2 linked regions of the Callithrix jacchus genome follow. The protein of the gene in region 1 purifies or fractionates together with the protein of each later gene. This does not show direct contact. Links are inferred from orthologs where the notes say so. Each region holds a gene or a part of one and is shown in the gene's direction. Other genes may lie near its edges.

Region 1 (9,488 bases):
CTCTGTTGTCTCACAAAGTGACACTGGAGGGAGAGAAGGGAGTGTCCCCGTGGCCACGCTGGTGGGGGCAAAGGCTGATGGCGATTCCGCGCGTCTAGGGTTGAGCCTGGGCCTGCGCCCCCTCGTATTCCCGGCCGAGCCCCAGCCAGCAAAGCAGAGTGTGGTCGGAATTGAGGCAGCGACCGTGTGAGGCCGCGTCAGGGAAAGCTCCGCGAGGGGCCAGTGTTGGGCACTGCCCTGCCCCGATCGCTCCCCATTGTGCCCACTCCACCCAGGAACGAGTTAGTTGTGGAATAAAGGAAGACACGCAGACTTTGAGAAGTGGAATTGGGGTTCTTCGTATTCATGGAAAAAAAAATACTGGTTTAGCCCGGGTCTGCCCTATTTAGGATGAGTCCGATGGTGCCTGAGAAAGCAGTGCAGAGGGGGCCCTGCGAGACCCCTCCAGGCGGAAAGAAAGAATGCTCCTCGGTCAGAAGGAGGTGTTTCGGGCCATGGGAGGGACTCTCAAGGCCTTTGCTTGGATAAGCTCGGGGATACAGATATCCTCCTCTTCCCCACAAGGCGCCTTAGTCTCCGGGCTTATTCTTGGCGGTGCAGCAGTCCTGGGGAAGAAGGCACAGCCGCGTGTTGAGAGGGGGCTGGGGTAGGAAAGGCGCTGGAGCCTGGGCGGCAGGGCTCTGCAAAGGCCCAGGCGAGGTGAAGACGAGAGCTTGCTGGAGAGCGCGAGAAGCACGCCTGCAGACAGAGGTTGAAGCGCAGTTCCAGTTGCATCCCAGAGGGAAGCGGGAGTCTGCCCGCCCCAGCCACTCCGAGCTGCGCTCCTGTTCAGCTCCCAGACTCGCCACCTGCTGCGCGGTTCTGGGGAGGGGGTTACTGGTCCTGAACGGCAGGGCGGGGGCTTCCTCCAGAGCTGCAGGCCTGGTTGCCCTGGGACTCTCCCAGCCGGAGGCCAGAGAGCTGCCAGCCACATGCACCTCTGACCTGCTGAGAGGCTGAAAAGCTGCCAAGGGACGAAGTCCGAGGAGACAGGAGGCTGTGGAAGATTCATCCAACTCTTACTCAAGTCTGGGGACCTAAAGAGGGGGTGGGGATAATCATGATAATAACTACGGCAATCTCCAGTGCTGGCACCAAGCTGAAAAACATTCAAAGCTTTCAAAGCACTTTGATGTGCTCCATCTTACTTGAATTTCACAAAAACCTTGTGAAGAGTGATCTCCACTTCTAAATGGCGTTGAGACTTGGAGAGATGTACAGCCTTCTACACTTGGTGTTTCTTAAATTTACCAACTATAAAATAATGGCAAGTGAGAGAAAGCAGCTGGGTAACTGGGAAACCCACCCCGCCTTCGCAATCAGACCCCATTCGGGACTCAGGCCCGCCCGGGTCGAGCCTGCAAACAAGGTCTGTATTCAGCGTTGCCAGTTCTCTGTGGTTCACTTAAGTCCAGCGTCGTCTCCCCTCCTTGCTTAGACACCACAGTGACCAAGGCGCAGTTCGTCGGGTCCTGAGAGCGCCCCCCAGAGAACCCCCTGGGAAGGAAGAGCAAGCCGCAGGGTTTCGCGCTGGTCTTTCGCAACACAAGCGGCGAGCGCGTCTCCCTGCGCAAACGCAGGGTGTTCTCCCCAGCACTGCCATGGGGGCGTCACGGAAACGCGGGTCCAGGTGGGAGGGCGATAGGTGCCCTGCGCTTTCTTTCCGCTGGTAAGGAAGGTAGGCGGTGAGAAATGAGAATGTTAGTATAGACGTTGGCTTTATATTGAGGGAGTACAGAGCACTCTTCAAGGAGAGGGCTAAAATCTTTAAAAACTAAACTTTCTGTACTATACTTGCTATTAATAATAGTAATAATAAAAGGAACCTGGATGAATTAAGTAGCTCAAAACTGCCTGTTCGTCATCAGGAACTCCCTTTCTACACGGAAGGGAGAGAAAATGTGAAAACAAGAAATTTAAGAAGCTCCTTGTGATCCCTTCGGCAACACATATACTAAAATTGGAAGAAGCTCCTTGGCCGGTGCGGGTGTCTTGGAGGCACCTGCCAGACTCGGCCGGGGAGCACTCCGCCCTCCCAGCCCCTGGCGCGGAGAGGAGGCTAAAACAGCCAAAGAGAAAGCCAAACAACAACAATAAAAGCGTTTAAAATACAAGGACAAAAACCGGAGTCGGTCTCAAAATCTTCGCGGTGCAAGGCTCCACTCGGTAGTCGACTAGGCTACAGGCCCCGGCCTGGCCGGAGTATCGTGGGGGACGCCCCCGACCCCGCTGGGGAGCGCAGCCCACAGCTCCCCCTCGCCAGGCGCCCAAGGACCCTCAAGGCGCGGGGCCCACACTTGAAGCCTGGGAACGCGCAGACAGGAAACCCACTTCCTCCTAAGCAGTTTCTTGCTCGTCGGATGAGAGGCGCCCAATTGAAGCAGAATGATCCTCATCTACTAATATCCAGCGTGGCCACAAAGCGACTGGCCATTTACGCCACCACTTTAAACAAAGATATTTGGTTATTCCTGGGAAGCAAGTGCACTTTTGCATGGCTGAGCTCCGGGCAGAGGCGAGCCTCAGCCCAGCCTCCCGCCCGCCGGGCTGCCTGTACCTCGGCATTCGCCCCCTCCTGGCCAGCGCTCCAGCAGCCGGGGTTCAGGCTCGGTTCCGACCCGCTACGGACTGACCCCCGGCACTCACGCCGCTCCCTGCCTGCGCTCTCCCTGAAGCATCAGAGGGGAAAACAGCGTGGCTCTGGGCTCGGGTGCTGGGGCTGTGATGTCCTCGGAAAGTCAACTCCAGCCCCAGAACCCCGCGTGTCTGGGAGATGGGCGAGGGTCAGGGACATCAGGTTTGTTCGAGGTGGGGCAACTTCAGTGACGGACCCTCCGGTTAGACCCCTTCCCATGCTCCCAGCTCAAGGGGCCAGTGCTGTGTTTGCTCGGCCGGGGGTGGGGGTGGGGAAAGACCTGGGGGGAGGCGTGTTGGGGGTGGTGGCCCACAGAAAAACCCCTGAGCTGTGGGGGCGGGTGGTGGCTTGGGGATCCGGGACAGCCTCCGGGAGGCAGTCGATCCCCTACTCAGCGCCCCCTCCGCCCGCTCGGAGTCTCTTGGGTAGAGGGAAAGGGGGCGGGGAGCAGAGGTGTCCCTCTGACGGCGGCAGAAGAGAAGCAGACAGACTGACAGACACGTAGACCAACGGTGCAGCCCCAGGGTTCGTCCCCAGACTCGCTCGCTCATTTGGTGGCGACTGGGGCTCAGCGCAGCGAAGCCCGATGTGGTCCGGAAGCAGTGGGAAGGCGCGGGGCTGGGAGGCCGCGGCGGGAGGGAGGAGCAGCCCCGGCAGGCTCAGGTGAAACCCCCACCCCGTCCCTCTGCCCCCTCCTCCTAAAGACCTGTCCCCGCCCGGAGAACCCCGACCGAATAGGAAAGTGGTTCCACTTTGTAACTCCGAAAGTTGGTTGCAAAGCAGCATTTACCTTCCTTCCTCCCAACCATCTCTCCTCCTATGTTACTCCTCCACCCCACCTCCTGCCCTCCCCGCTCTCGGTTCCCTCCTCCTTCCCCTCCTCTCCACCTCCTCCCCGCGCGCCGCTGGTACCCCACAAAAAATGGGGGTGGGGGTGTCTAAGGGAGGGGGGAAATGCTTTGGGTCTCGTCTCTGCCTCTCTCTCTCTGAGACCTAAAAATCCTGACAAGGGAAACTTAAAGGTGTTTACCTTGTCATCAGCATGTAAGCTAATTATCTCGGGCAAGATGTAGGCTTCTATTGTCTTGTTGCTTTAGCGCTTACGCCCCGCCTCTGGTGGCTGCCTAAAACCTGGCGCCGGGCTAAAACAAACGCGAGGCAGCCCCCGAGCCTCCACTCAAGCCAATTAAGGAGGACTCGGTCCACTCCGTTACGTGTACATCCAACAAGATCGGCGTTAAGGTAACACCAGAATATTTGGCAAAGGGAGAAAAAAAAAAAGCAGCAAGGCTTCGCCTTCCCCCTCTCCCTTTTTTTTCCTCCTCTTCCTTCCTCCTCCAGCCGCCGCCGAATCATGTCGATGAGTCCAAAGCACACGACTCCGTTCTCAGTGTCTGACATCTTGAGTCCCCTGGAGGAAAGCTACAAGAAAGTGGGCATGGAGGGCGGCGGCCTCGGGGCTCCGCTGGCGGCGTACAGGCAGGGCCAGGCGGCACCGCCGGCCGCGGCCATGCAGCAGCACGCCGTGGGGCACCACGGCGCCGTCACCGCCGCCTACCACATGACGGCAGCGGGGGTGCCCCAGCTCTCGCACTCCGCGGTGGGGGGCTACTGCAACGGCAACCTGGGCAACATGAGCGAGCTGCCGCCGTACCAGGACACCATGAGGAACAGCGCCTCTGGCCCCGGATGGTACGGCGCCAACCCAGACCCGCGCTTCCCCGCCGCCAGTAAGTGAGGCCGCCCCACTGCGGGGCCGCGGGCTGAGCTCAGGAGGTGCAGCAAGAGCCGTCCAGAAGGCGCGGCCCGGGCAGGCTACGCGCTAGGCATCAGGGTGGGCGGCCCGGGAGCGGCGCCAGGGACTAGGGTGTGGGAGCTGGGGATACTTCCCCCTGCCCGTCTGGGGGTCCAAGAACAGGCAATTGGTAGCGCTGGGGTCCTGCGGTCAGATGCGGGTACTCGGTGTCTCTTAGGCGCGGTGGACTGGCAGTTCTGCTCCGCTCAGAAGACCTAGGGGAGCCCAGGGAAGCGACCCCGAGCTCAGGGAGCAGAGCGCGGAGAGGCCAGGCCCGGCCAGGAGGGAGGCTGCCCTGTTGGGAGGCACTCGAGCGCCCACCCCGGCCCTCTCTCTAGAGGAGTCTGGGCAGGTGGGAGACTTGCAGTTCCGGAGGGGACTCTGAGGGGCTGAGCAGGTGCCCTCACTGGGGCCGACAGGAGAGAAGCCAAAAGGCAAATCATCTGGGGGCTCCAGCTTTTGGAAGTCAACACCCCCTCTCCTAACCTCTCCAAATTGGGGTCTACCGTGGGACCCCAGCTCCCGGCCTGAGCCCAGTTCGCCGCCTGTGGCCAGCTAATCCCATTGCTCTGACCCGGGCTGGGCAGGCACTAAAGCAGCAGAAGCGGCCTTTTCCCCACTGCGCCTATTGGTTCGAAAGAGGGAACTGAGACTGAGGGTGGGCAGCCAGGGTTGGGGCTGTGAGCGCTCCAGTGCAGCCCTCGACGGCACCGCCTGGGGCAGATGCTGGAGGTCCCCCGAGGATGGGCCTCTTGGGGCCGAGCGCTAGGCTGCCTGGGTCAGGAGGGCGCCGTCGGGTCGGGCCGGGCCGGGCCGGCCAATGGCGCGGAAAACTGGGGTGGCCTGGCCCGGCCTGGCCCCGGCCGACGCTGTGCGTTTGTCGCTTACAGTCTCCCGCTTCATGGGCCCGGCGAGCGGCATGAACATGAGCGGCATGGGCGGCCTGGGCTCGCTGGGGGATGTGAGCAAGAACATGGCCCCGCTGCCAAGCGCGCCGCGCAGGAAGCGCCGGGTGCTCTTCTCGCAGGCGCAGGTGTATGAGCTGGAGCGACGCTTCAAGCAACAGAAATACCTGTCGGCGCCAGAGCGCGAGCACCTGGCCAGCATGATCCACCTGACCCCCACGCAGGTCAAGATCTGGTTCCAGAACCACCGCTACAAAATGAAGCGCCAGGCCAAGGACAAGGCGGCGCAGCAGCAACTCCAGCAGGACAGCGGCGGCGGCGGGGGCGGCGGGGGCGCCGGGTGCCCGCAGCAGCAACAGGCTCAGCAGCAGTCGCCACGCCGTGTGGCCGTGCCGGTCCTGGTGAAAGACGGCAAACCCTGCCAGGCGGGTGCCCCCGCGCCGGGCGCCGCCAGCCTACAAGGCCACGCGCAGCAACAGGCGCAACAGCAGGCGCAGGCCGCGCAGGCGGCGGCAGCTGCCATCTCTGTGGGCAGCGGTGGCGGCGGCCTTGGTGCACACCCGGGCCACCAGCCGGGCAGTGCAGGCCAGTCTCCGGACCTGGCGCACCATGCCGCCAGCCCCGCGGCGCTGCAGGGCCAGGTCTCCAGCCTGTCCCACCTGAACTCCTCGGGCTCGGACTACGGCACCATGTCCTGCTCCACCTTGCTATATGGTCGGACCTGGTGAGAGGACGCCGGGCCGGCCCTAGCCCAGCGCTCTGCCTCACCGCTTCCCTCCTGCTCGCCACACAGACCACCATCCGCCGTTGCTCCACACGCTTCGACTTTTCTTAAGAACCTGACCGCGTTTAGACCACGGAACAAACAAAACACAAAAGCCAAACTGCTAGACGTCTTTCTGTTTTTGATCCTAAAATTTGTGTGTGTGTTTTTTTTAAAAGAAAGAAAGAAAATAAAAACAACCAAGCGCGTCCAATTTCTTAAGGAATCTTTAAGCAGAGAAAGGCATAAAACAACTTTGGGGGTGTCTTTTTTGGTGATTCAAATGGGTTTCCCACCCTAGGGCAGGGCACAGATTGGAGAGGGCTCTGTGCTGACATGGCTCTGGACTCTAAAGACCAAACTTCACTCTGGGCACACTCTGCCAGCAAAGTGGACTCTCGCTTGTAAATACCAGGATTTTTTTTTTTTTTTTTTTTTTTTAAAGAAGGGAGGACGGGAGCTGGGGAGAGCAGAGTCTTCGACACAACCCACTTGTCACTGACACAAAGGAAGTGCCCCCTCCCCGGCGCCCTCGGGCCGCCTAGGCTCAGCCACGACCGTCCCTCCGCGAAAACTGTTATGTTTGATGTGAACTTGTAGCTGTAAAACGCTGTCAAAAGTTGGACTAAATGCCTAGGTTTTAGTAATCTGTACATTTGTTGTAAAAAGAAAAACCACTCCCAGTCCCCAGCCCTTCACATTTTTTATGGGCATTGACAAATCTGTGTATATTATTTGGCAGTTTGGTATTTGCGGCGTCAGTCTTTTTCTGTTGTAACTTATGTAGATATTTGGCTTAAATATAGTTCCTAAGAAGCTTCTAATAAATTATACAAATTAAAAAGATTCTTTTTCTGATTAAAACCCTCCTTTTTGTTTGGTTTTGATTTGGCTTTAAATGGCTTTTGGTTGGGTGGGGGAGCGGCTTGGGAGGATCTTGTCTTTGGTCTGATGAGATTCAAATTGTTTGGGTTTGAGTTCAAAGGATTCTGAACCGGTTAAGGAAGCAAAGAGGCCAGGCCTAGAGTCCTTGCCCCACGGGAAAAGGGAGTTTTGTTTTGCCTCAGAAACTGTGTGGAACCAAATCTTGAGCAGTCCTGAGACTGCAGTGGAGGACAGAAATGCCAAACTACTTCCACCAAGCAGGAGATGGGGAGAGGAAGAGAAAGAAACCAAAAGATTCATTTTCAGAATCAGACTTCTGTTGATAGGAGCTTCAGAACTGTGTACTGTCTACTGTGGTCTCACAAAGCTGAGCCAACCTTTTAAAACAGTGAGAGAAGACAACCATTTTAAAGAACTCTGAATGAGTTCTGGTTTTTAGTGAATGATCATCTCTATAGATTTGAACATTGAACCTTTATTCCGCAGCCGAGCTCCTTCACAGAATTCGGTGGGAGGCTGTTTTGGAAAGTGAGGAAATTATTCTGGGATTCTGTTTCTGCCCTGAAACAGGGATGTCCTCTCCGGGACCAGCAGCAGACACCCCAGCCCCTGCTGCTTTTGGCTCCTTTCGCCTCCAATGGAGTAAAACTGCGTGACAGGCCTGAGGATGTCCCAGGAAGGACTTCAGGAGCTGAGATTTCACTCTTTATTGCACCTTTTTCTTTTTTTTAATATTTGGGTTCCTAAATTTTTGTAGCAATGAATCTTTCTCCTGTTTCCAGTTCTTCACCTCCTGGCCACTACCTCCCACTCCAAGCAAAAAAAAAAAAAACAATCATTTTTTATTCCTTTCTTCTGACTTCTAATTTCTGGGTCTCCTCAGCGTTCAGTGTTTGTGTTGGGAGCTCTATTAGGGATGAGAGGGAGGAAAAAAGGAATGGTTTGAACACAGAAAAAAATTGCAGTCCCTGGATGGGCTGTTGCTCCTTCTGGGTCACTCTTGCTAAATCATCGGGGTGGGGGGAAAGGCTGCTGAGGGAGCTGCGGCATATGCCCTTCCCAGTACTTTCCTCTAGGCCTGGAAGTACTGGATTATGGGCAATTGATTCTTATTTGGCATGTATTCACTTCTCACCTAGATTTTCAACTTTCTTTTTCTTGTCCCTCTCTTCTCCTCTTTCATTTCATTGTCTTCATCTCTTCCCAAGCCCTCCCTCCAGATACCCCACCAAGAGCTTGTTAGGAAAGTAGACTGGCCAGAGTCCTCGCTCTGGACCTAGCAGACCTCTTTGTTGACTTCCTGGAGGCTCTTCTGGCGTGATGCCTTAAGACTGGGGGCTAGGCCCGGCTTTCTCCCTCAGAAACCTGGGCCTGACTGCAGAGACACGGTTTTCAATATCCAGAGGGACTCGAAGACTCCAAAGAGGAGAGTTGGGTCTAGTGAGTGTCCTGGTTGGAAGGCTGGGAAGGGAGATTTTAGCAAGTCTCCCATTTTGGAAAACAAGTAAACAAAAACCCGTAAAGTTTGACCACTTGCTTTGGAATGGCCAGCCATGGTTCCAGGAGAGGCTAAGGCATCCAGCTCAGGCGGGCGGACGGGGACGTGGATACTGGAGCTGCTGTTTGGCTCTAGGTCCGGATCCCACAGGGTTGGAGCTTCACTTAACCTGCCCCAGCCTAGCCCAAGCCCGGGCGGGGACCGAGCTGGTGGTTCCCAGCTGTGGTCCGGGCGGCTGCCCAGCTCCGCATTCTAGCCAGGAGCCAGCCCTTGGGAACCACTATTTTAGTAAGCTGTGGTACCCCGGGTCTTAATCACGTTTGCACTGGATGGGGTTTCCATCAAATACATTCTTCTCCTTGCCGTCTAGAGTCGGCTTAGTTTGAAGTTTGTTTACTTGTCCAGGGGAAAGGTGAACTCAGTCGCGTTTACGGACCGAGACAAACAGGACCTCAGCCTCTTTCTCGCCATCAATCACAAGGGCTCCATCTGCTCCCGCTCCCGCCCCCGCTCCCGGCAAGGTGACTTGTCGCAGCTGCAGGTAGAGACCTAGAACGCAATCTGAAGCGTTTCATTAGGGAAATAGGTGCGCAGCACTCTCCGCCCCTACAGCTCCTTCGGCTTCTGGAAAGCCGGCCGGCCTCCTTCCCCGGAATCTCCTGCATCAACTCATGCCCAACGACTCCTGCTCAATTTCTGGCCTCCCCTCTAGAGAAATCAGCATTCCGAGGATGCGCCTGGCGCTGAGGTGCTTGGAAGCTTCTGAGGTTTGGGAGCAGTACAGTTCACCCCGAGATCACCGCTAAGCTTTGGCTCCGTCAAAGTACCCTACCCATCCCTAGGCCCCAACGACTGCGAGGAGGGGGGGAGATTTTGCACACTGCATCCCCCCCCCCTTCCTCCTCTCCCCACCCCCACTTCGCCATGTAAACACGAGGACTTTCTCGAGAGCCTTGGAGAGCCGCTCT
Region 2 (9,398 bases), about 1.2 Mb from region 1:
GGAAGTGTAAGCTGAGGCAGCCCAGCGTGGTCAAAGGACCTAGTGCCACCCGGGCACTGCGGGACTGCGCCAGGAGCAGGCCCCACAGGTGTAGCAGGCGCAGCTTCCGGGAAGGGCGGAGCCGCTTCCTCCGCTGGCGGCCACCTGGAGTACCCGCGCACCCTACCGTCCTCACTGCCGCCGCTAACCTCCACTTGAGGAGCCCGCCCTCTCGGCGACCTGGACGGCTCCAGGCTGTTGCAGACCCGTCCCTACCCAGGCAACTTTAGCCTGGGACACGCCAGGAGACGCCAAGTGTCTGCCTTCGTCGGTTCCCTGCCCTGAGTCCACCCAGCCTCCCCAGAGCTGAAGACAGGCCTGGTTTCCTCCAACGAGCAGCACAATCCTTGCAAAGCACAGTTTGCAATAGTGTAGGTGCCTGTTTGGGAAAAGCGGCTGGAAAAGAACAGCCTGCAGCCGCTGGACTTGGCTACCGACTGGCCAGCAATCCAGACAGCAGCATTAATTTATGTATGTATGTATGTATGTATGTATGTATGTATGCATGCATTTCCAAGTCAAAGACCCAATACGACTCTGCTGATTCGCCTTTAAACTTCGGGGAAAGTGACTGGTTGGCATTTGGGTATACTAGAACTTCACCTCCTAAATTTGTTAGGGGTCTTGCAGTGCGCTCACTGAGATGGAGAGAGTCTGGGAGCTGGCCGAACTGTCATCTCTCCTTCCACCTCGGCCTAGGCTCTAAGAACCTAAATTCCTGGCTGTGGTTTGCCTGCGGAGTTCAACCCACTATCGCCTGGCGGTGCTCCCTGGAGTGCCTGCGGAAAATTTCAGCGATCCCTCTCCACAACAGGAGGCGCTGTGTTTGTGGAGAGGGATCCATCCCCACCCCCTACCCCCGCACCAGGCCGCGAACCTGTGATCCCCGAGCTGGATTAAGGCTCTGAAGCTGACAGAGTCCATTCTGCACCACCGGTCTTGGGCTTTGAAGAAGCCTAGGAGAAATTTCGCTCTGGCCATCACGCTATGAACAGTGGATGTTTTTTTCTTAAGTCAGCTTGTTTTCTTTTAAGATTAGACTTAGTAAGTTTGGGAAATGGGCTAAAATAATATTTGATATTGTAATTGAGCCCCCTCCGTAAGGTGACAGTGTTTTTACCCCGCTTAACGCACCAGATTTTTGTGCACCATAAAAGCCATTACTATCTATAAATTGTTACTATTGGTAGAAAATACCCTAGACTTGCTCGATGTTATTGAAGAGCCAAGAGAGTGTTGGAGAATCACCTCCAGAAGGAACAAGGAAGCTCATTAGCACTGAAAGTCCCCCCACCCCCATCAGGCCAAGGAAGCTAAGCATCCGTGTACTTTACAAATGGAACTAAAGTCAGCTGCTGATGGAAACTTTGCACAAAAGCATTAGTTTCTGACACACAATTCGCAGATACATTTACACAAACTGATGGGACAACTTGCAGTTACAGGAGCAGGTTGCAGTAGGGAGGGTTCCTGCCCTACTGAGTTCCAGGTGAAGCTAATTTCATTCATTCCTTTCCTTATGATGTGACATTTCACCCACCACCCTTTTTGAAAAAAAAAAAAAGTTGTAATCCAATGCTTTTATCTTTTTTTATTTCCTTAACTGCACATCTTCACCCTCTCTGCTCCCCTGCTGACTTAAGAGAGTTGTTTGGTTCAGGGACTTAAAGTGATTCTCTTGCCAGATTTCAAGTAAGAGAGATTTAAAAGAACAAAGCACAGGGAAAAAGGTATTTGTTTGGAAGACAAGTTAAAACACATTTCTTAAATTGAGATTAATAGCAGTTTAAAAACTTTGCTAAACAAGAAGATTTTGCGGATTCTTAATTACTTTAGAAAGATTTTATTTTATTGTTACTTAAGGGAACCTAGTGCTTCTACAGGCAGTAGAACACACACAGGGTCACAGACACTCAGAAACTAACACACTCAGTCACACGTGCTCGGAAATACACAAACGATCACACACTCAGAAACACATGCACCATTTCCCAACTTATCACCAAGTCATTGCCTATCACCCAGTCACTTCAGTAGTTCTCTCTGCCATGACAAGTGGGCAATCCGCCACCCACGGCCCCATGAAAGTCAAGAGACTCTGCGTGGGGGAGACTCTCCCACCGACGTCCAGAACCGATTAGGAACCAAGCGAGCCCCTGAGATCCCAGCCCGGTCTCTCCGGTCACAGACAGGATCAAACTCCCCTGCAAGCCATCTCGGGCTTCTGCCTGGAAGCTCTTTCGCAGTGCAGATGCGTTCACGCGCCCGGGCCCTTGCGCTCCCAGCTAATGCGCGTGTTATGGAAGATGTCCCCTCCCCCTGACCTTTTCCTATCAGAAACCAGACGGTCGTCTACAGCTCAGTCCCTGAGGCAGCTGAAGGGGGGCGGGAGGAGGAGCCCGGCAGAGGGAGGACCGCCCGACTTGGGTCCGCCTGCCCTATCCCACAGACATCTGCTCTCAGTTTCTTCCTCTTTATGGTCGCTACAGATGACAAGGGGAGAGGAGCGGACCGAGGCTGGGGGAGAAAAAAAGTTATGTCATAAAGATATAAACCATAAAGGTGACTCACCTGCTCTTAGCCGCAGGTACGAGTTTGTGGCAGCGCCTCCGCTCTGCTAGCCAGGAGCTCAGGTCGGCCTAACGTCATTTGGCTCGGCTGACTCAGATGGTCGGGTTTCTAGTGACGAAGCAAAAGTGGGGCTTTTTTCCCTTTTCTAGTCTGAAGCCCAGAGGAAAGAAAAAAAAAAATATCTGTATTCTCCAGTCTCCTGGGGTTGAACTTTGAGTCAGGAATCAGGAAGGAGGGGGAAGGGAGCAGGAGGGGCGCGAGACTGGGACACAGTCGGAGCTCGGAGGGTGGCCAGTACCTCTGGGGAGGAACCCCGGTGTCACTTAGCCCACAAGGTCTCTAAGCTCGGGCTCCGACGCCACCGCCCCCGGCCTTCTCTGGCTGCGAGATTCCCATCCAGAGTCCTAGCCAGCCTGCCCGGCCCCGCCTATTTTTTTCTTTTTCCAAAGGGGGTTACACCCCCTCCCACCCCATTTCCCTCTTTCCCTAGCCTCCGGGCTTAAACCAATTACACTGCTTTGCAAACAAAGTGAGGGCCGGGCTTGGGGGAGGGGGCTCAGGGGAGGGGGCGCGCGGCCGCAGCGGCGGCGTGGCGGGGCGGGAGGCGCGGCGGCCGGACTGGCAGGCGGCCGCCTTGCAGGTGCACCTCGGGCTTTGTAGGTGCGAGCGTCTTTGTGCGGCGGACAAATGGGGAGAGGACGAGGAGGTGGGCACTCGAGCGACGTAAGATCCACATCAGCTCAACTGCACTCGCCTCGCAGAGGCCGCCCGCTCACTTCCCGCGGAGGCGCTCCCAGGCGCCCCGCTCCGCGGCAGCCGCCTGCCCCCTGCGCTGCCCCCGCCCGCGGCGCCGCCGCCGCCGCCACCGCGCACGCCGCGCCCCGCAGCTCCGGACTTGCTCTTCGCCCGGGTGGCGTTGGGCCGGCGCGGGCGCTCGGGTGATTGCAGCGGCTCGGCTCCCCTCCCCCGCCCCGCGCCGTGCAGCGCGGCCGCCCGTCGCTTCGCACAGGGCTGGATGGTTGCGTCGGGCTGGGTGGCTCCAGGATGTTAGGGACTGTGAAGATGGAAGGGCATGAGACCAGCGACTGGAACAGCTACTACGCGGATACGCAGGAGGTGAGAGACTAGGAGAGGCGGGCGGCGGGCAGGGACCCCCTGGAGCCCGTGTCGGGGGAGGCCGGGGAACGGTGGGTGCCGGGCAGGGCAGGCAGGAGGGCCGGGGGAGCCTCCTCGGTGCCACCGCTACCTGCCCGCTGATGTGGCCCCGGCCGGGCCTCGGCCGGGCCTGGAAGCGGGACCTGCTGCCCTAGTCTGTCCCGACTCTCGCAGCCGGCGAGAGAGTTTTAGGAAACTCCAGGCTTTGAAAACAGCGGCTCTGGGAAGCGCTTGCCTCTTCCCAGCGGAGAGGGGGAGCGGGAGCCGGGCCCAGGGTGTCGCTGGCGGGAGAGCGCGGGCGCGAGTTAGAAGCAACTCTAAGAAAGCCGGAGCACGCCCGCAAGGCGACCTCTTCCTCCCGTCGTTTAATTCAAAGACCTCTTCTAATTAAAGCGCCCTGCAGCCAAGTTGAGTGTCTCAATAATGAAACGATTTCTAAATTTCGTAAAACTTGTTCTTCAAAAGCCCTGTTTGGGGAGTAGTGTGTTTCTTTTTCTCTAAAACCGCTGGGTGGCGCTAGTGCGACCAGCATCTTCTTTAGAACTCCGGGCCCAGAACCTGTTTCTCTTCATTGTTCCCTTAGTGGCACGTTCTTGGGGTTTATTTTACAATGTGCATAAAAGGATTACAGGGAAAACCAGGTACAGGCAGAACTGCCACCTATTAAAAGTATTTTTGTGGAAACAGCTGGCGATTACCCCCCAAAAGTTTACCGTTATTGAAAACCCGTATTGGAACTGCCTGGGATAATTTTGGGAAGAGAGAAAGAAAATAAAACCCCAAGGTAAAAAATACTTCTAAGACGTGGACAGAAAAATATAGAATCAGGTAATATTTTGATGGTAACTAATTTATTTAGATTCATATATTCACAAATTTACCTCTGAGTTTATTTGCATACCATAGTTTAGTGGGTGTTCCTATTTAAATCTATTCTCCTGTTTTCAAAAGGGCTCATATTTGCTGATGAAAGTAAACTTAAGGACGTAATTATTCCTTATTAAATTATTAGAGGAGTACTTTTTAACATCCCTAGGTTCTGTATTTTTAAAATACTATACCTAATGCTTCCCCACATTGCTATGGATAAGGATTTTCGCTTGTTGATGATTTTAAAAAGAGCTCAGAGGTCTCAGAGGTTTAATTCTGATGTAGTAATCTCGACCCCACCATTCTATCAAGACCTCTATCGAAAAGTGTTTTCTTACATGTTAAAGCTGAGAATTAGCAAATACAATAGCATTAAGAAAAAATAAGTAGAATTTGATTTTAGAATTTTAAATTATTCAAGACTACTCACGGAGTTTCAAAATCCAGGCATTGAAATCATCATCAGCAATATATCAATATGGGGAAAAAATGATTTGTTTTGACAAACTGTGTCACCAAATTTTTCAAACAGGGGACTGTGAAGTGGTGACAAAATTAATGCAAGTTTCTGAATAGCTTGCAGAGGTGTACAGGTAAAGTCACGTTAAAATCAAAAGTATATAGCACGTTGAAATTATTATGGCACCCTCTCCCAGCCCTTTCTGTTTTTAGTTTTATTTTTCCAAAACTTATTTAATTTCTGAGTTTGCTTCCCTTTTAACATTACAGTTGCTACAGGTAGGTAGAAAACACTACTTCTAAATATGATAAACAACAAAAAGTCACCAAAGGCAATAAACTCCTAGGACAGTAAAGCCAGTTGTAGGGAAATAAATGATTCAGGGGGTCCCACGTCCATAGATGATTTGCTCTATCAGGGAGTTTCATTAACAGCCTCCTAGAACAACCGAAACCGCTGTGTGGTCAGCCAGGCCTACAGACTCAGGCGAAGAGGGCGTGGAGTTGGTGGTTCCCTGTGGTCCACCCCAGTGGGCTTGTGACGTGGAACCCATTGCACCCTAAGGGTGAAGTGAATAAGCGGAGGGTCAGAGATTAATTCTATTTTTGGAGTTTTAAAGACGATTTGCCCCAAAGAGCTCTTTGCTGAGGCTGGTTGGGGTGGATACTTAGGATACCGCCCGGTGTGGATGGAGGAGGCGATGAAGGGGTCCTGGAAGCCAGCCCCTGAGCCTGGCATGTAAGGCGATTACACATCTTCCTGGGGACATACTTTCTGTGAGCGCTTATCTTTTCGTGCCTGCCATGCTAGGATTTTCCCCGTGCTGTGCGAGACGCCTTTGCTCAGTCTGGGGAGGGCGCCTAGCCATTTTCCCGGGTGGGGGTGTCTCGTGTTCTGCAGAAATGCTCTGCACTTGCCCCCGTGTTCGCTGCGGGCGGCAGCCCTCCTGCGCCCACCACTAACCCCGCCCTCCGGGGCCTCTTCACTCGCTGTCTCCGCTCCAGGCCTACTCCTCCGTCCCGGTCAGCAACATGAACTCAGGCCTGGGCTCCATGAACTCCATGAACACCTACATGACCATGAACACCATGACCACGAGCGGCAACATGACCCCAGCGTCCTTTAACATGTCCTATGCGAACCCGGGCCTGGGGGCTGGCCTGAGTCCCGGCGCGGTGGCCGGCATGGCGGGGGGCTCGGCGGGCGCCATGAACACCATGACGGCAGCCGGGGTGACGGCCATGGGGACGGCGCTAAGCCCCGGCGGCATGGGCGCCATGGGCGCGCAGCCGGCAGCCTCCATGAACGGCCTGGGCCCCTACGCGGCTGCCATGAACCCGTGCATGAGCCCCATGGCGTACGCGCCGTCCAACCTGGGTCGCAGGAGCGCGGGCGGCGGCAGCGACGCCAAGACGTTCAAGCGCAGCTACCCGCACGCCAAGCCGCCCTATTCGTACATCTCGCTCATCACCATGGCCATCCAGCAGGCGCCCAGCAAGATGCTCACGCTGAGCGAGATCTACCAGTGGATCATGGACCTCTTCCCCTATTACCGGCAGAACCAGCAGCGCTGGCAGAACTCCATTCGCCACTCGCTGTCCTTCAATGACTGCTTCGTCAAGGTGGCGCGCTCCCCGGACAAGCCCGGCAAGGGCTCCTACTGGACGCTGCACCCGGACTCCGGCAACATGTTTGAGAACGGCTGCTACTTGCGCCGCCAGAAGCGCTTTAAGTGCGAGAAGCAGCCGGGGGCCGGTGGGAGCGGGGGCGGAGGCACCAAGGGCGGCCCTGAGAGCCGTAAAGACCCCTCGGGCGCCGCTAACCCCAGCACCGACTCGCCTCTACACCGGGGGGTGCACGGAAAGGCTGGCCAGCTAGAGGGCGCGCCGGCCCCTGGGCCCGCCACCAGCCCCCAGACTCTGGACCAGAGTGGGGCGACTGCGACAGGGGGCGCCTCGGAGTTGAAGACTCCAGCCTCTTCATCTGCACCCCCCATAAGCTCCGGGCCCGGGGCGCTGGCCTCTGTGCCCCCCTCTCACCCAGCACACGGCCTGGCTCCCCACGAGTCCCAGCTGCACCTGAAAGGGGACCCCCACTACTCCTTTAACCACCCGTTCTCCATCAACAACCTCATGTCCTCCTCGGAGCAGCAGCACAAGCTGGACTTCAAGGCATACGAGCAGGCACTGCAGTACTCGCCTTACGGCTCTACGTTGCCCGCCAGCCTGCCTCTTGGCAGCGCCTCAGTGACCACCAGGAGCCCCATTGAGCCCTCAGCCCTGGAGCCGGCATACTACCAAGGTGTGTATTCCAGACCTGTCCTAAATACTTCCTAACCCCCCGGGACTGGGGGGTTCGTCTGGCATGGCCATGCTGGTAGCAAGAATGAAAAAATTCAACAGCAAACAAAACACAAACCAAACCGACAACAGCATAATAAAATCCCAACAACTATTTTTATTTCATTTTTCATGCACAACCCTTCCCCCAGTGCAAAAGACTGTTACTTTATTATTGTATTGAAAACTCATTGTGTATATTACTACAAAGACAACCCCAAACCAACCATTCTTTTCCTGGGAAGTTTAATGATCCACACGTGTATATATAAAATTCGCCTCCTTCCTTGCCCCCCTCCCTTTCTTCCCTCTTTCCCCTCCAGACAACATTCTAGTCTGTGCAGGGTTATTTAAAACAAAACAAAACAAAAAAGGAAGATGGTCAAGTTTGTAAAATATTTGTTTGTGCTTTTCCCCCCTCCTTACCTGACCCCCTACCAGTTTACAGGTCTGTGGCAATACTCTTAACCATAAGAATTGAAATGGTGAAGAAACAAGTATACACTAGAGGCTCGTAAAAGTGTTGAAAGACAATACTGCTATGTAGCAAGACATAAACAGATTATAAACATCAGAGCCATTTGCTTTTCAGTTTACATTTCTGATACATGCAGATAGCAAATGTCTTTAAATGAAATACATATATATTGTGTATGGACTTGATTATGCACATGCTCATATGTGTAGACATCCTTCGTATATTTACACAACATATAGAGGTAATAGATAGGTGATATCATGATGCATTCTCAAGAGTTACTTGACTGAAAAGTTACAAGGACCCCAACCCCTTTGTCCTCTCTACCCACAGACTGCCCTGGGAATCAATTCCTCAGGAATTGCCCTCCAGAACTCTGCTTCTTGATTTGCAGAGTGCCATCCATGGTCATGTCATTCTGAGGTCACATAATGTGTAAAATTAGCTTCTATGGGTGTGTACCATTTAAAGAATATTTTCTTCCAGAAAAATGGAATATTATGATGTTGGAGGAGAGATAAGTTATAGGGAGCCGGATTTCAAAACGTGGTCCAAGATTCCAAAATCCTATTGATTGTGGCCATGTTAATCATTGCTATCATGTGCTTGTTTCATCCAGTGTTAATGCACTTTCCACAGTTGGACATGGTGTTAGTATAGCCAGACGGGTTTCATTATTATTTCTTTTTGCTTTCTCAATATTAATTTATTGCATGGTTTATTCTTTTCCTTTACAGCTGAAATTGCTTTAAATGATGGTTAAAATTACAAATTAAAATGTTAATTTTTTCAATGTGATTGTAATTAAAAGTATTTTGATTTAAATAACAAAAATAATACAATATTTTAAGCCGTGGAAAATGTTCTTGATCATTTGCAGTTAAGGACTTTAAATAAATCAAATGTTAACAAAAGAGGATTTTTGTTATTTTTCTTCACTTAACTAAATCCGAAGTGGATATTTTAAATACGATATTTTTCAAATTCTAGAACTGAATATAATGACAAAAACAAAAATAAAATTGTTTTGTTTTTGATTTTAACGAATGTCTATCTAGTAAAAAGCAATGAAAGAAAATCAAGTAAAGTGCATAAATTGAATTAATACTCCAAGAATTGAGATTTTTATGATTCTTTGTTCCCAGTGATGTTTACTTCATTTTTTTCTCACACCGGCTTAAGCCTTCTGTGCTTCCTTTGAGCCTTTCCACTACAAAATCAAATATTAATTTAACTACCTTTCCTCCTCCCCCAATGTATCACTTTCCTTTATCTGAGAATTCTTCCAATGAAAATAAAATATCAGCTGTGGCTGATAGAATTAAGTTGTCTCCAACAGCGACTCCTGAACCCTCTTCTCATTAAAAGAGAAACAAAACTTAGCCATCAGGGTAGCTCTGGAGGAGGTGGGAGGAGGGGAGTTAATTCGCTCTGGCAGGGGCAGCGTTGTGCCGACAAGACAATTTAGGTTGGCCCCTATTTTGCA

Evidence for each region.
Region 2: the proteins of NKX2-1 (region 1) and FOXA1 purify together in Homo sapiens (affinity purification with western blotting; 3 studies listed by BioGRID and IntAct, with this or other methods). This does not show direct contact. The link is inferred for Callithrix jacchus from reciprocal best matches to the Homo sapiens genes NKX2-1 and FOXA1.

The regions. Positions count from the first base shown.
Region 1 is NC_133509.1:71,111,258-71,120,745, reverse strand, and holds NKX2-1 (homeobox protein Nkx-2.1), read left to right. Parts: upstream 1-3,157; 5' UTR 3,158-3,260; coding exon 3,261-3,337; intron 3,338-3,771; exon of another isoform or gene 3,772-3,916; intron 3,917-4,015; coding exon 4,016-4,404; intron 4,405-5,359; coding exon 5,360-6,102; 3' UTR 6,103-7,001; downstream 7,002-9,488. UniProt on the Homo sapiens protein: Transcription factor that binds and activates the promoter of thyroid specific genes such as thyroglobulin, thyroperoxidase, and thyrotropin receptor. Crucial in the maintenance of the thyroid differentiation phenotype.
Region 2 is NC_133509.1:72,266,496-72,275,893, reverse strand, and holds FOXA1 (hepatocyte nuclear factor 3-alpha), read left to right. Parts: upstream 1-3,380; 5' UTR 3,381-3,654; coding exon 3,655-3,726; intron 3,727-6,099; coding exon 6,100-7,431; 3' UTR 7,432-9,248; downstream 9,249-9,398. UniProt on the Homo sapiens protein: Transcription factor that is involved in embryonic development, establishment of tissue-specific gene expression and regulation of gene expression in differentiated tissues.